3 linked regions of the Drosophila melanogaster genome follow. The protein of the gene in region 3 interacts with the protein of the main gene of each other region in a pairwise test. Each region holds a gene or a part of one and is shown on either strand. Other genes may lie near its edges.

The links. The genes of interacting proteins can lie anywhere in the genome.
Region 1: the proteins of CG4073 (region 3) and Teh2 interact in a two-hybrid assay, tested with the Drosophila melanogaster proteins (one large-scale study listed by BioGRID).
Region 2: the proteins of CG4073 (region 3) and CG14401 interact in a two-hybrid assay, tested with the Drosophila melanogaster proteins (one large-scale study listed by BioGRID).

The regions. Positions count from the first base shown.
Region 1 is NT_037436.4:4,184,361-4,190,943, forward strand, and holds the start of Teh2 (tipE homolog 2), read right to left. Parts: upstream 3,664-6,583; 5' UTR 3,313-3,663; intron 2,506-3,312; exon of another isoform or gene 2,409-2,505; coding exon of another isoform or gene 2,154-2,408; exon of another isoform or gene 1,658-2,153; intron 304-1,657; coding exon of another isoform or gene 1-303. Other genes in the region: Teh3 (tipE homolog 3), read right to left, coding at 1-303; VhaM9.7-c (vacuolar H[+] ATPase M9.7 subunit c), read right to left, coding at 2,154-2,408; tipE (temperature-induced paralytic E), read left to right, coding at 6,232-6,583.
Region 2 is NT_033779.5:20,866,688-20,872,635, forward strand, and holds CG14401 (uncharacterized protein), read left to right. Parts: upstream 1-3,166; 5' UTR 3,167-3,446; coding exon 3,447-3,660; intron 3,661-3,914; coding exon 3,915-4,073; coding exon of another isoform or gene 4,074-4,085; intron 4,086-4,144; coding exon 4,145-4,368; 3' UTR 4,369-4,785; downstream 4,786-5,948. Other genes in the region: CG9338 (uncharacterized protein), read left to right, coding at 249-457; CG31675 (uncharacterized protein), read left to right, coding at 1,459-1,510, 1,664-1,837, 2,430-2,650.
Region 3 is NT_033777.3:10,712,254-10,717,410, forward strand, and holds CG4073 (uncharacterized protein), read left to right. Parts: upstream 1-2,544; 5' UTR 2,545-2,677; coding exon 2,678-3,559; 3' UTR 3,560-3,648; downstream 3,649-5,157.

The DNA of each region.
Region 1 (6,583 bases), on a different chromosome or scaffold from region 3:
GCTGCGCAGATTCACATAGATCTGGATGCAGGCTCCGGAAGTCTTGCTCAGACACCACTCGCCACAACTGCCCCACTCGCAGTTGTCCTTGTTCACCGCCCGCGTGGTGGTGCACATCACCGGCGTGGGATCGATGCCACTTTTGAAGGCCCTGGTTGAGGGCATATATATGGCCACCGTGAGGTAGACGAGAGCCACCGAGCTGAGCACCAGGGTCATCTGGCAGATGCATATGGTGCCGCATATTCGCGTGTCCTGCGGTGGAACCACCAGGTCCTCAACGGGCACCTTTTTCTTGCCCATTTTTTAACGCGCGACTACCCTGTAATTCCAAGTAGCAAGTGGGTGGTGGTCACTGGTGCCTCCTCTGGTTAATCCCTGTGCTGGTTAATCCCTCGCGTGCAATCCAATCCAATTAGAAGCTCGTCATGTCGGTTTTTAGTCTATCGATTTAGCTGCAAAGCTGCGTGGGCGGTTTTGTATGTTGTGCGGTTATATAACCCTGCGTAGGTTGAGATTTTCCACCGACTTTTCAATGGGTCCACAAAAAAAGGGAAAACTGGTTACTCTGCAGGCTGCGCACGTTTCCAGCTGGAGGACACGTTCCTTGGATAGGCCACAAACCTATCGATTTTTGGCTAGCTGACCCCACAGAAATTCACTTTAATCACTGGGCCCATCCATACGCGTTGGTTGCATCACGTGCCAGTTGATTTTCCTGTCGATTTGGAGATAGAATTCACACAGTTCCAGGAATTCCGCTTCTTTTTACAATTATCTGGCTATTATTGGGATTTATAATTTATGTACAATTATTTCTTAATTCTCGAGCAGTGCTGTTCTGTGGTAATTATTTTTTCCCTTCGAGTTACTGGCAGCTGGTGGCTCGTGACCCAAGGCTTTCTGCTCCGCACTGGCGACTGCATTCGGCTCGGCTCTGGGTCTCCGGATTTCACAGCTCTCTAGTAGTGCTCCAGCTCTCCGGCTTCTCCTCACTGACCGCCGACAACATGGCACACATCGTGGCGGGTCTCGTGGAATTCGCTACTCTCCGCTTTTGGCATAAATCTCGGCTCTGCGCGCGCACTTTTATTGCAAAATCAATAGTTCCGCATTCACATATTGCTGAAAAGAGCAGGACACCCCGCTCCCCTGCTGCTCCTCGAATACCCCGCTCTCTCGTTTCCCTGCCCACAACCGCCAAGTTGGCTCCGCTCGGGCCATTCCCATTCCCTGCCAGCGTTTCCATTGATTAAGTCGGCCTCCACATGGCCAAGAGTGCAAGTGCACCGAGTGCGCCATGTGCGGGGACTTTGTGTTTTTGCTCCAGTTATGGTCAACCACCGGGCACGCCCCCTTCCACATTAAGGCGAAAATACAATAACCCTATTCGGATGCATTGTTCTAAAAATAACATAAATTGCACTTCCGAAATGAAACATTTTCATACTAAACAAACTAAACTATATAATGGGAAAAAAGAATTCTGAAAAACAAATATAAATTAAGAGAAACATAATATTTAAGCTAATATATGAACTATAGATTTCGGGAAAAGCTAAATGGGGCGTAAACTTATAAATATACATTGCTAGACATTTTTGGTTTTCAATGTAAATACTAAAAACTAATAATAAATAAACACGAATAGGAAAATAATACGAAAAAATTGTTCTATATTTGCCAATAGCTAAATCACAAATACAATGACTGATTAGTAAATTATCTACACTACGGAAAAATAGGTAAATAATAATCTGACTACAAAAATCGCTCATGTGGCAAGTTTGTTGAGAATTAAATTGCAATAATTGGATTTTTGGGTGGAATACATGGCTTATGTTTTGCAGTAAACATAAAGAATATGGTGATCAGAGATATTGAGCTATAAGCAACAACAAAATGTACAGTGAAAGTTTACGTCCAGAGGTTAATGTGGTTAGTTTGGAAATAGTGGGGCGTATCTGGGGCTTGGATAGCCGTAGCCCAACCTTGTCCACTTGCTGCCAGTATTGAAGTACAAAAAGGGTTTGGCGAAGCCACTGCTTCCGTGGTTTCACCGACTGTGTGTGATGTGGCTTAAGATCCGGAAATACGCGGAAGAAGCAACCGCCAAAGATTAGCTAGGTGGGAGATTCCTATGTGGGCTTTCCTTATCCCTCCTTGATGGGATTTCCCCAGGACGAGGCAATGATCCGAATGGTGTTTCCATTGAGTTTCGGCCCCAGCAGTGGATTCAGTTGCGCCAAATAGCAGCACAGCCAGAAAAGCCAGCAGACGACGGCGGTCAGAAGGAAAATGCAGCGCACCAGGTCATCGTGCGGTTGCTTGGTGAACAGAATGGGTCCGTACTTGGCCACCGCCGCCCAGAAGATGGTGAAGAAGACGATTGTTAGGAAAACTTCCATGATTGTTGCTTATTTTCTCCACTTTCCTTTATTTACGTCAAATTAAATTCTTTTTTAATCAATCATCTGTGTTGGCGGAAATCTACTAACGCGTCTCACCAAAATCCTCACACGGCGCCTGTTGCCCAACACTAACACACTGAATCACTTTCAACACTGGTCAACAGTTGGTTTCGCGGCTTAATTTTATTACTTGAATTAATTATTGTTAACAAACTGTTTTTAATGGATCTCGAATTTGACATAAATCATAGAAATACATAGAAAAATCATTTCAAAATAATTTAAATAATTTTCGCTATTTAATAAAATTACAGGGCTTAGGTAAATTTTATAAATCCACTTTAATTATACATTTTTTAAGTCTCAACGCTTATCTAAGGATATCTATATATCCGTCTATTTAAAAAAAATGTAATTGTCTAGCTATTTTTAAAATATGTAATGGTTATGGGCTGACCTTTTCTAATATTCACGACTATATCTAGTTGTTTTTAGATTTAATTTACCATAAATCTATATCTAGGTAAATCCATACCTAGGTTTGGTGATTCCACCACAAGCCTATTAAATATTTATGGCTAATAGTGAATGACGGGATCTAAGAATGACGCATTTCATAAGTGTTTGGGGGATTGGATTGAATTACACATATAGGATTCGTGGCATGGTGGTTACATAGTATCACAAGATTGGCTGCAATGGCTCTTCTACTAACAAAACCACTGAACATGCTCCGCTTTGGTTTTATCACGGACCAAATGGAATAATCAATGGCCGCAGGGAGAAATTCTAGTTGCATGCCAATCAATGGAAAGTGCGCTTATAAGTAGGCAATGATTTTGAGGGTCATCGAAGGATCCTACATTCGATTACCATTTTGAATTTCTCGGTCAGTACTCACATGTAAATTAAGGATGTTTTAGCTCCGAGTGTTGAGGTTTATTTACGTTCCTGCTACTGGGGCACGCACACACGTGGGGAAAGGGGTTGGTGGTCGTGGGGGCTGGTTAACCACACCAATACACTTGCAGCAATCGCAGTCACAGTCACAGTTGCACACAGTGTGCCATCAAAATCGTTTCATAACCCGCACATGGCTCACTCTTTGACGGAACTCTACGGTTTATTGGACCTTCTTTTTGATCCTTAGCTAAGCAAGTGCCACAATTGCTGCGTTTCTGCACTTTTCCACCATTTCCCCGTGGCTGGGCGAGCCGAGAAAATTCCAAACAGGAGAACTCGTTACGTTTCCCTGCTGTTTATGCCACTTCTGAGTGGCTCAGCTTTCGCCCATCGGAGCCCTCTCTTTCTGGCGGGGATCGCCGGGCGCCTGCGCCGACTGGCTTTACGTCATCGCTGGCCGCTGTTGCTCCCAGCTGGAGAAAGGAAGGGAGAGAGAGCTTTAGCCAGTGATGCTGAGAAGTGAAAAGTCCAACAAAAGTTATTATTTTAGCTAAAAGTTCTTAAGCACTTATTGCCAAATGTTCATTTACGGTTTATACTATTTTCATTTTTTTCATGATTTTTGGCCATTTCTTACGGAGTTGTAGAAAATTAACCTTACTCCTTTTCCGTATGCAATAAGAATTGTCCTTTTAAACGTGAAAGCTAACCGTTATCAAAGCTAGTTATCTAGCAAGTTATTAGCCAAATGGGCAACGCTGGACTGGAGCTTGTTGGCAGTGCAGGAGAAAGCTCCGCTCCGAAGCTCCACTTAGACGTGGGCCCTTAATTCCGCTGCAGCGTTGCCAGTGGCAGGCAGTCCTTTCGCTGAAGAGTTCAGCCGTCGTGTTGTCGCCGTGCTCCTTTTTTGGTTGTCGCCGTCGTCGTTGTCGTTCGCCGTCGTAGTTGTCGTTGGTTTGTCTGTCTCTGTATTGTTGCCACTAAAGAAAGGCAAGAGGAACCGAAAATGCCACGAAAGAAAATGTGGAGCGTGAATGTGACAATTGTTCAGCGTTAGCAACTTTTGACCCCGTGCGCAATCAGGTCACCATTGTTCCATGGTAAACAGTGGTAGCCCAAAGAACAGCAAATGTGTGCTGGTGATTTGTGATTGAAAATGCGTAATCCTCGTTCCGTTGTCATCGTGTTCACCGCGTAACCTGAACCTTGAGTAAACACACACAAGCGCAACTCGGACACTTACAAACACATACCAGCTCACAAACGGGAGCACGCAACTCTACGTCACAAGAACTGGAAAGAGGTGTGGGGGGAGGGAGGCTTAGAAGTGGAGAGGCCCCAACCGAAATACCTGAAAATTGTAACTCAACTACATTTAATTGATCTCCAAGAGAAGGTGGGGGCAGGTTCCCAGCAAGGTGGTTCTTATAAATCTTTTTATATGGTGCCTCCTAAAAAATCGTTTCGTGCTAGGCACAAGAAGTTGGCTCTGCTCTTGCCCACTCACTCACTCCTTTGGGAGGTCCTTTGCCGCATAATTTCGATTGGAGCTGGCACTCTGCCCCTCTCTTTCTCTTTTACAGCCCCCCTCCCCTTCCTAAGACTCTGTGTGTCAATGTGTGTGTGTGTGGGTAAGTGGGAGGGGGAGAGCCTACTTGCATGTGCACAGTCTGTTTCCAGTTCGTGTGAGTTGGTATGTGTGTGAGTGAAAGCGTGCCAAATGAATTGAAAATTACATGTGGCTCCACTCTGTCTCCCCCATTCCCCTTCCGCCCCTCTGACCCCCTCGTTACCCCGCAAATGCATCGAAGGAGTTTTATTATTTAAACACGACGAGTGCGAGTTGAGCTCATTGGTGCCGTGCCGCGTGTTTCCGTTTCGTAACACTCGGGGTTACATAAATATAGCCGTCGTCACCTTTGTGTGCTTTAAAAATATACACGAATTAACGGCAAAGCGCGGCCTAACGGTATTTTAAAACGCACTCACACTCTCTTACAGCCTTTGTGAACTGCACGTGGCAAGGATAGAAAGGAGAAGAAGAGAAGGAAAGAGCATGCTGGAGAGAGAGGAAGAGTGCTAGGAATAGCCAACCAAAGCAAAAAAGTGAAAAAGACAAACAAAACTGTCCGTCCAGCATTCGTTTTTCTACACACATTTCGAAAGAATGTAAATGTAAAGTGAAGAAAAACAGAGAGTAAGAGAGAGACCTCAAAACTGGCCATTGGCAGGCCAAACACATACACAGGCACACCAAGCATACAGGACACACAGGCCACACACGACACACACGCACGAACATCCAGTGCTTTGCCGCAGTCATAAAATAATCAAGAAGCAGCTAAATCAGGCAAAAGCAAGACGACTGCAACGTGCTGATGTTGACGAAACATCTCCATTGGGACGAATAAAGCAATTAGCAAAGGTTCACGATTGTTGCCACCACACTGCCAGGAGGCGGAGGAAGCTGGAGGGGATTAAGAATGCGGGATACGTGGGACTCGCACTCGGACTCCGTGGAGTATTTAGCCTAATCGAGTGAAGCGATGCCGTTGAACTGGAGCACAAAGATGCAGGACCCTCCCTGCAAAGGTCAGCTATGTGCGAGATAACGGGACACCGGACAGCCAGGCAACCAAAGCGAAAGAAGCAAAAGCAGAAGCAACAGCAAAAGCAAACGAAACGAGAAATCGAACTCTCCCTGTGATATAACTTGCACCGTAATCGTAATCTAGCTATTAGTTATCGTTATCGATCAGTAATCGCCGCAATTGTAAGCTAAGTTATCGCACTTATCGCCGCTCTGCTCCGCCGCCGCCACCGCCAGACCTGCGCCTAAAAACTAATAATATTAATAAAATTAAATAATACCATAATATATAGTAGACCTCAAACCCGACCAAAATCGAGCTAAAACATGGGAGACGAGCAGGACAAACGCACCGGCAAGGAGAAGCTGCTCTTCTACACCACCGCCTTCTTCATCCTGCTGGGCACCTTCAGCCTGTTCGCCTTCCTCTTCCTGGTGCCCTTCGTCATCGAGCCCGCCTTCACCACGATCTTCATGCAGTTCGAGGAGGTTCCGGCGCTCTGCGAAACGTACGACACGGAGATCTACTACGGGGCCAAGAACTGTTCGTGGTCGTCCTGCCGCGAGGGCTGCACCAAGGACATCTATACGTGCACCCAGATTCGGGTGAACTACCGTCTCAATCTATATAACTTCACCGATGAGTTCAACTTCACGGAGTACCACATCAATCTCAAGG
Region 2 (5,948 bases), on a different chromosome or scaffold from region 3:
AAGCTGCATACAAATAGAATTGAGTATCAGAGAAAGTCTAAAAATGAGAATTTTTGAATATTTCTCTATACATTTATCTCCGAACACATTAGAACACACAGCACGCTTTAATGTCGTAATTTCTGAATCTAATTGCCGAATATATGATTTGAATTTATAATATATCAAAAAGAATAACAACCGACAAAGCATTTCCATTTACACTTAACCAAATAATTTGTACCAACTTCTAAAATGTTTACTTGCAGTTCCCGGTAACCCGCAAATCGTGAGGTCCTGCTACTTTGGCAACATCGCCGACACGAAGGTTGGATGCCAGACCGATCCCAGCCTGACGATCAACAAGTTGCTGAGCTGCGAGGTTTGCACCGAGGACGAGTGCAACGGAACCTCCTCCCTGGCCCCCATCGCCGGAGTCATACTCCTGTTCTTTGGCCTGGCCCGTCTGCTAGCCTGAACGAGGAGCAGTTTGTAGTACCGCTGAGCTATCCCAAACATATCGAACTTGCTGTTGGGAAGCCAGACCCATGGAGCTGCTTTAGTCACCTTTGAATCTCTTGTAATTGTTACACCCTTTTAAACTGTTTTCGCCCACATTAAATGTCGCTTTATTTATGTGAAGATATTTTATGGTTATTCGTAGATTAATTGCTAGCTTTAACTGATAGCCTTCCAGTTGGGCAAGCAGAAAATCCATGCGTGTCTGGCACACTTCAAGAACTGGCCCCATCCAATCTACGTCTCTTCTGCAGGGCTCTCTATATGCTGGGCTGACGATTATACGAACAGACGGAAAAGCGGAAAAGTTCTCTCTGTGATTTTACTCGCTTCGACCATACACTCCCAGTTTTCCTTTTCCATTTCCATTTCCCACAGGGTCGCTATAAGTTCGGCGCGTCAAGTCTCCACCCGCTAAATGTTCATTAAATTTAGACAAATTAAAACGCTGAGCGATGACGCCAGGCGAAATGGCCATAAAATGTTTTCACCACAGAAAAAAGAGAGCGATAAACGGAAAAGAGAAAAACGGCAAGGAGTTGAATTTGGAAAATGCTTTTGGCATTCTTTTAGTTCGATTTCGTGTGCGGACGTCGACTGACAGACGGCTCCAAGAATTTAGCCGGGAAATCGGGGAAAATCAAAAAACAAAACTGAGGGAAAATTGGCAACGCGTGTTTACATTTTTATTTCCTACGTGCTGAGACCCAAATAAATATAAAATAAAAGTCATTTATATAGTTGAAAACACACATTTATTTATATTCAAAATATATACTATATTTGCTTATACAAAACATACAGTTTTGTATGTTCAAACCTCGTGCGGATCGTTTCAATTGCGCCGAGCAGAGCTATAAATAAGCCCGCCACTTGAATTATTTTCCATAAAACCATCAAATACAACAAATTCCAATCACCAGCGAGAAAGGTGGCAAACCGATTTTCCTCCCATCAACAATGCAGCATTATTTACTTTTGTTTGGCGCGCTCATCTCGCTACTGGCCTCAGGTTTGTTTTTGTTCTGTTTGGACTTGTTTCTTTCGAATTTGTACTTTGCTTTGCGAGTTCTGCGTTTGCCGCGACCTGTCGGCTGTCCCCGCCTGATCTCATTTCTGCCATAAATAAGACGCGTCTCTGGTCTTCCCATCCCAATGCCACTAGCTTACGCCATCAAGTGCTATGCCTGCGAATCCGTCTACGAGGCTAGTTGCGGCGACGACTTCGAAGTCGAGAACCATTTTAAATACGACTGCGCCTTCATTGCTCCTCCGCGATTCCTGGAGAACGATCTGCTCAGCGTGAATGCCACGGCCTGTTTGAAACGGGTATTCAAGGGTGAGTTTAAACGAATATGTTTCTCAAAACACGTTCCTACGGATTTGAAGCCTTGCTAGGATAGTAACTTTAATAGTTATGAATCAATAGGTATAGTAAAAAGAAAAGAAAGTTTGAAATATAAGATTAAAAAGTGGATATATCGTAATTCACCAAAAATGTATCTATCCACCAGATATTTTTTTAAAGTAATTGTTCATTAATTACAAATACAGTCCGATTAGCAGCGGACAAAAAAAGTGTGTTCCGAAAGGTAAATGTCTGTATACTCATTAAACATTCGCAATGTTGTCCGTCCGAGATTTGTATTTACTCTTCAGATAATAATTTCTTTAATGATTTGTGACGCAAATCAAAACAAATAAAATTAATTATGTGAAACAGTCATACATACATTCATAGACATACGTGCATATACGGACAGCTGTGACCTTATTTCAGAAGAATCTCGTAGACTTTCCAACAATCTCTTGATATTTTGGACAATACGTACACATTTCGTATAAGCCCATTAAAGACGGACAATAAAAAATGTGTTTATTTACGATAAGTCAGCCCGAAAGTAGACTAACCCAATGTTTTGCCTCTGCAGAAAACGGCGTGCGTAAGATCGTCAGAGGCTGCTACTTCGGCGAGGTAAATGCCACCGATGTGTGGTGCAAAATGGACCCCACCCTGTCGGCGGTGCAGAACTCAAGTTGTCATGTGTGCGACAGCGAGAACTACTGCAACGGATCGGAAAATCATCCAGTGGATAAATGGAAAATCTTCGGCAGTCTGGTCTTGTTTCTCTTGGCAACTCAACTACTCTGAGGCGACAGGAGACGAAGTGGAAATGTGGAAATGTGGAGCGTGAAATGAACATTAAAAGGCACAGTAGCTTAAGTAAACCTAGTTCAATTTAGATGTATTCCCAAGGCCCAGGACTATCAATTAGTAAAGCCCACATTAGTAGAGCACACCATCCACAAAACCGTTTAGCCAAATCTGCCCGGCCCACTGTATTAATGGCTAATCAACGCCGAACATGGCGTATGAGCAACATCAGCACACCGAAATGAGCCGAAAAGCTGGCAAACAAATTTCGAACGATCCAAATACAAACTAATAAAAACTAATTTTACACAGAATGCCAAATTGTTTATTTGTTCAAATGCCACTAATGAACCTTGCCTGAAATAAATGGATTGGCGAGGAAAGGGCAAAGGGAATGGCAGGGCAGGGTAGGGCAAGGCAGAGCACGATGTCAACACGCATTGGCCAGGGAAAAGCCAACGATGGAGAAGTGAAAATGTGAAAAAATCTGTTATGAAAATCAAATTCACATTCTGAATGCGATTGTTCGCACGTTCAGTTCAGTTTCTGTTTAGTTCAGTCGCGTGTGTGCATCGCTTCGAGTCGGTGGTCGGTGGTCGGTGGTCGGTGGTCGTTGGTCGGCGGCTTGTGGCTATATAGCGCATCTATCATGTGATTAAAATCGGTCCGGCAACCGAGAAGACAACATCTGTATTCGCGCACGTATCGGCATCGCCAAGCTATAGCTATAGCCATACTGACTCACCGCGACCGCCGGACGACAGTGGAATCAACTGTTTTCGGGGGCGGTACGATGGCGATGATGGCAGCGCTTGCCTCGCTCTTTCTGCTCGTCACGCTGGCCAGCTCAGGTGAGATTCTCGATTCGCGCCCGCCACTCATCACATTCCTGCCCCGAAATTGTAGTTCATATTTTGAAATATCTCAGAAGCAGAAGACTGTCAACACGATTTATTGCGAATCAGTGAATTTAGGGTTTTACCGACTGTTTTGCGGGAAACTGTTCAGTAAAGAAAAACATATAAACAGCTTTCTTTGTTTATTTCATTGTTTACGTATAGAGTCTAAAAAGTTCAAGAATTATATTACAAATTTTAATTAACTTACATCTGAAAAGAAATTAACGTTTTGGAACATTAAGAATGGTTTTAAAGCTAATTGTTTACTTTAAGATAAAGATAAGGTCTACCAAAATGCTCATCCATTGTTTTCCTTTCTGTGCACTCTCGTGGACACACATTTTTACGGATGTCGTCATCAGCCCGTGCCATTACCTGCTACGAATGTGATTCCGTCAATAATCCAGGGTGTGGGGAGCGATTTGTGGGCGATGACATATCCACGACGGATTGCGATGTGGTGGCGAACATGCGATCCCTGGGAGCGGAGGCCACTTGCCTTACCAAGTACCATGAGGGAAGTGAGTATACGAGTATGGTTTCTGGAAAATATGTCAAGGAAATCCCTTATAAAATGACTCACTTTTCGCAGTGCCAGGAGACACGCGCTTCGTGAGGCGCTCCTGTTACTTTGGCGATGCCTCCCCAATAGGCGTCAGTTGCGACGATGGACCAGATCCTGTGGTGCCCTTTATGAACTTCCTCGGCTGCACACTGTGCGATACGGATTTGTGCAACGCAGCCGCTGGATTATCCACACTACCCTTGGTCATTGCCCTTTCGATACTCGGACTGCTTGTCCTACTGGCGACCTAAGGAAGATGAGTCGCGTGGAACGGCGGCGGTCGTATTTCAATGTTTCCTATTAAAAGTAATATACTCCAGTATTGTATAAAAGATTGTTGTTTTCTTGGTCGACTAACTAACATGACTTCTTATACTCATGCAAAGGGCGCAGAACAAGAACGACCCAAAGTTTATCCTTATATTCTTAATTTTCTAAGGCAAATGGCTTAAGTTATAAAAAGCCTACTGAATATGTAATAAATTTAACTTAAAGCCCCTAGAAGAATGAAATAGAAGCAAATATTTTTTAATTTTTATTTTATTTGATTTTCTTTCCATTGTTTTTATACATCCACTAAAATGATTTAACATACATATATATTTATATAATTATACTTGTTTGATTTAATATAATTTATTGAATAAAATTTACTCGTTTCCTACTCTACTAGCGTGTGTATGTAAGTATGTGTATGTGTGTATTGCAATTAGGATCATTAATTACAAAATATTCATAAAATAAATTAAAATAACACTTTCAAATCGATACACACAATTTCTGTTTCAATATCTAGTCCATTGATTTCTTGATCGTCAAACAATTCTAGTTTTACATTTATTTCCAGTTTATAGCATAAATTATTTTATGTAGGCAAACAGATAACATCTTTGCTTATTATCTTAATGGGTTTAGCTGCGGATTATATTCATAACACTTCTGGGCTACACATAAATAACATTCAAATATAAATATATGGATATTTATCAAGATATTGTATATAAACTACACATTGAGAACAATTCAGATAGAAAACAATTTATGTACAAAAGATTGTGTTTGTTTTTGCTTCACCAATACTGTCCATGCTGGCGTTGTCCGGCGGAATCTCTACGATCCCAGCGAGGACCACTGCCGCGTCAATGCCACAAACAATCGTCGTCCATCTTTCCGCGTCTTAAAGTCTATCAACAATTCATATCATCAGCGTGTAAGCATTAGTCAACCAAATATAGTAAAACTTATTGTTTCAACACGATTCACAGTCAGAAACAAATAACAAACAGATTTGCATTGCATGGATCAACTTGTTCAACTTGTTTTGTAGTTGGGTATATAATGTAGTTCGTTTATATAATGCTGCGTGCGTACACATATACATTGAATCATAGTAACAACAACACACAGAGTTTGTTTAAAACCTATTCATATTTAGTTTGCTTTTCACTGCTGCACCTTTCACTGATTGCAGGTTACCTGGGTTATATTGGATGGTTATAATATAATTTTTAGGGTATGGGATTTGGGTTCGGGAATTGTGGAGTACCAGCTCCTCAATGAAATAGTTGTGGAGTGTTACCCATTACATTCTGCAATCTGTGATCACTCCTGTCCCTTCCCCTCAATTCGTTGTAGTTCTTTTATTTAAATGTAACAATTCGTTTGAGTAGTGCAACGATCAATAAGCCATCGGAATTTGCAGACACTCAAAGGCAGATGAGTGTTCGTCCAGAGGGAAATGGGAGGAGACACACCATGTTATTTTTGTAAAACATAAAAATTGACTAGAAAAGTGTGCAAAAATTTTGTGTACGTGCAGTTTTTAGGTGGA
Region 3 (5,157 bases):
TGTAGAACTGGTTTGAAATTACTTGGAAAAGGACAAGGACAATTCCCAGCTGCTTCTTGTTCTTCGGAAAGGGCTTAATATGGACAAAAAAAAAATATGTTGGACGTAGTTAAAGAAAACCTTAAGAGGGAAACGAAAACTGAAAAAATCATAATGAAGAAGTGAAAATACAATGAGTTTCGCTATTCCTTTGAGAAAAAATTCATTACATAGGAAATTTATATATTAATTATAGCTATGATGTCATTCATATTGCATCATCATTTGTTTAAAAGTAATTTATTGTCTATTAATTATGTAAAAATTTAAAGGGGCGGATTCCTATGCACCTTACTCCCGTTCTTATACAGTAATTTCGAAGGATAACTGCTTAAACAAACGTTTGCGATTAACATGCGTTAAGTACACAATTTCAGTTACATATGCATAAATAAGCATTTAAATGCGCCATGCCCCCCATGCGTAAATAATTTAATTGCATGCGAGTCGTCTCGAGTGTTGGCATACAAAATAAATTGCAATTAATACTCGATACGAAATCAACAGCCAGAACAGGTGCTAAAAGTTGCCTTTAATCATATTGTTAAATGTGGAAGCCCGTGTCGTGGCACATCACGTATACGCAATGTGGTGCAGAAGGCAACAGCATTTAAGCCAGAAAGTCACGAAAAGGGAAGGGAAGAACAGGAGAGGCGTGAAAATCTGAAAGAGCTGGAAAACCGGCAATAGCAACAGCTACAGAAACTCATCCAGATGTAACTCCCTGCTTTGTCGCCTGAAATCGTGCTTTGTCCTTCGCTCCGTTCATCTGGCTTCTTGAATGGCTCAGTCGGCGGCATTTATGGAAGTCTTGGTTTTTGCCTCGGCCTTAGGCAGCTCCTACCATCGTTGCTAAATATTTATTAGCCCTCTGATTTATTTGTTCAATTGCATGTCGCACGGTTGGAGGGCCACGGTATGATTTTGATGTAGGTACGTGCCACATAAGGCATATTTAATGTCTTCCCCCACCGAATGGTGTTTTAAATTTAAAATTTTTGCCGTAGGTAAGTGCTTTACAGGGCTTAAACATTCGTTTCTATATTTACCGCAAATGTCCTGCTTTATTTAGAAATACGATTTTAAATAATTAACCCTCTTTGAGCACACTTGCCCGGCTCACATGTCTCTAATAATTTCCTTCCCATGAATACTTAATACGTAGCCCTATTATTAACTTTCAAGGCTAAAGATTTGACAAATGTAAGCTGACACCCCTGATTAGATAGGGGGAATGCTTAGTGCTTATTAATAGAATGCAAGTATCTATTAAGTATTATTGTTGCTCAAATGCACAAGGATCTGCCAGTTCAATCAATCAAACAGACATTATTGATGGCACTTCATATTTCGAGCCATTGTCATGACAACCTCAGATGGACGTTTTAATTGGTTGGATAAGTAAATTACATTTACATTTTACATCAATTTTCTGCGGCATTAACAAGGTTGGTTTTTCAATGAAAGCATAAATAAAACATAAATTAATAGATCGAAATGGGAAATGTACGTATTGATACTAATTTATATAGCTGTCACATATGTATTCTTAAATGTATTTGCCTAAGGATAAATTCAATTCTTCCGCTTCAATAAATCTGTTGTACAGTTCACAGCTAAATTCAACTCATTCGAGCGTCAATAAAATCCGATTGTCCTTCTAATTGGATTTACTATGACTTCCTTACGGCACTTTGCCGTAATTTGCCATTTGTTCGTGTTGTGGTTTTCCTGGCTATTGGCACTGTCAGTTTAAATCTCTTAAAAGTTATTGTTGCTCTGAGTGGCAGGCCGATTGATAGGCATTTGTAGGATTTTTAATGCCAAAGCTTATTATGACAGCAAACTGGGGTAATAATATCGAGAATGCCCAAATTTCCTGATGCTGACATTTGTGTAAGCACGGTTTTAGATAAATACGCATATTGTCATCGATTATTGAGGATTAGAGAGCAGGCGAACAAAGCGCGATAATCTCTGACTCAATAACATATTCTAAAGAAAGCTAGGTAATAAGACACCACTTGGTTTCCTCTCCTCCAGGCAAGTTTTTTGCCCGACTCATGTTTATTTAATTCCTGACTTTGTTGTTTGGCTTTAGGCTGTGTTTGCCAATGTTTCTGCACGTGCTGGCTTTTCAGCGGCAGAGTCTAATTAAAATTCAGTAAAAGCCTCAGCCACAAAATGGCCCAAAAAGTTGGCCCTCAGCGCACACAGTTCGCCAGAGCTGAATACATATGTAAACACATCATCAGGTGCAAGGTGGGCCATCTTAATGAGTCTAGTGACAACGCAGCACGTGTCATTGATTAGCACTTCAGTTCTGGCCAGCATAATTCCCATTTAATATGCATGAGTATGCATATACTGCGCAGTGGTTTCATTAACAGAATTATACATCCAATCGATTCGTTATTCCATCACATATCAACACTAAAAAGTATCAATCATTTAACTGTATTAGTTTCAGTAGAAAAATTCCAATCGTTTATTTCAGTAGATCTAAATTGTAACATAACACTTTTTGCCCACAGTACACCCACCGCCTTGTTAATCAAATATATTCATATTTAATATACATGTTCATAGCACCCAGCAGGTTCCCACAACGGGGGTGGTGGTATCAACGCGCAGAAAGATGAGCAGGCCAAATCCCACGCCACGTTCATCGACGGGTCTACGCAAACCGACTGGTCAAAGATCAACACCTCCACCCAGGCCACCACCTCATGTTCCCGCTCCTGCTCCACCACCGCATGAGCCTGCGAAACCATATGGAGAATCCCCGGGCCTGCTGAGCCCGGTCGCATCGTCGGGTCCTTTGCGCCAACGCTCTTCTGTGCACCTGAGGAAGAAACACCTCGGTTGGGTCTACTTGATCCACGCGGTTCTATCGGCAAGTGCAGTAATTCAGCTTGTGGTCCTGCGGCTCTGCAATAAGGACTTCGGGGAGCTAATTAGCCCATCGGTGCCCAGCTTCGTGTGGCTGCTCCTGGCCGTGGGATGTGTGCTGATCATGGCCTACGTGTACCTGGCCAACCAGTGTCCGTGCAATGGTCTGCTGGCCATTGTCATCGTGGAGGTGATAGTGATATTTGTGAATTGCCACCGGTGGGCTCGTCTATCGATGCTCTGGATGACTGGTGTCCTGTCACTCGTGCTGGCCCTGAACGTCATGCTCTACTTGATGGGCGTCTATCTGCCGCTGAAAATACTGCCCGGTAGCATCTTCATGATCGTCCTCACATTCTGTTGCATAGCGATTGTCGTTTCGATCTACTTGATTGTGTATCTAAACGGCAATCGCTATATAATGCGATACGTCTCGATGGTCAGTCTGATCTACGTGGCTAGTCTCATCCTCTTCACCATCACCGTTATCCACCAGCGAAGATTCGAGCATACGGATCGCACCGAATATGTCCTGCAGGCCACCGTTCTGGCCATGCTGTTCGTCTATATGATTCACCCACTCTCAACTATGGTGCGATTTGGGCAGTTTTTGGTGGACCATGTATAATATAAAATTGTTGGAAGTGTATCATCATCTCTAATATAGTCTTAAGAAATGTAATATTGCCCAAATTCCTATATATACATATATATTGTAGCTTATTAGGTGGCTTTATTATTGTTAGTTTTAACTGGTTAACTAATAGCAGCAGGCTTATACAGTTCCGTCATGCTTTTATAGTTCCGTAATTTTTTACAAATTTATTCTTATTTGCTGACGTGTGCAGTTGTTTTGACCAACATTGGCAAGCCTTTAGGCCGCCGGGTTCAGTTCGGAATCCGGTTATCGAACTCTCATCCAGAAGGATGTTTGCATGTGTATTCATGAAGTGTGTATGGGTGTAGTTGCTCTTAGCGACAAGATCCTTTTTGTGGCCATTTCGTGTTTTATCTAAGTCCTTCTAGCCGATTACACAGACAGCCGGACAAAGGGAAACGGAAAGGACCCGCGGCAGAAATGAAAATAAATAATACCCGGGCCCAGCCATATTTTTATGAATTTTTCCATCTTAGCCCTTTGCAGTGCAAGGATATTTTTGGATTTGCCTTCGTTTGTTCACTTCAATAATTCTGAAATCATCCATATCCTCTCCTAGGGCCACTCAAAGTTGTATTTTCAGTTTGGGTTCAACTTATGTTAATTTTATAAATTCCATTTCCGTTGAATCGCTTTTAACTCTTTAAAAATAGTTTTCCACCAGCAGTGGCAGCAGCAGCAGGATAATGGCCTCCAGAGGGGCTATTTTCACAGACGAGAGTTTTAGTTGTTTACTGAACCACAAGTTGGACATTAAAATGCAGTCCAAGGGCAATGTTTTTTTTTGCCGGTTGTGGATGTAAAACAGTGCGGGCTTCTGTGAGTCCAAAACATGCATAGTATTTGTATAAAAGGTCTCGAAATTGTTTTGAAATAAAATGCTGTTTGTCTGCGACTGGTTTTTCATTGCCAGTGTTTAAATTTAATGCATAAAGTTAGTTAAATTTAAAATGTGGTTTAAGTGTATAATACTCTTAAGGGTTAAAATTCCTTGGTTTATATTCACCAATTAATTAAACAAAAACATCGTCCTTTTATGGTAAGCTTATTATTCATTATAAGTCATGAAAATAGATTGCCCAAGGTGGACATAAAAAGTTAGGTCAATGATTAACTTGACATCAACATGGTCGTTATAATCATCAAAGCAATGTGCTCCATGAGCTCAAATTAATCATTCAGCTGCAATGAATTCTTTGTCTCGAACCTTTGTTCTGCACATGTGACATCTGTGAAATTCCGTACATTTCGGTTCAAAAACCCATTTTCTCCGCTCCATTATGCAAAAAGTTTTTTTTTGCGGCTGTTCCTTGTGTCTCCGAATAACGAGAAGCGAATCAGCCGAGACATCAAATTAATTCATAAAATTGTCCATTTGTCCAACATATTGTGGCCAAGATGCCGGACGGATTTGGTCGGAATCTACGGCAATTAGTTTCACAAGTGCCGGACTCAACCATAGGGACCGTGTCAACCAGTGATGCGAACAGGTAATTTATAAAACATGCTAAAAGAACATGGTTATTGAGGACAGCCTCACTTTTATCCCACACATCGAAGCCAAAAGT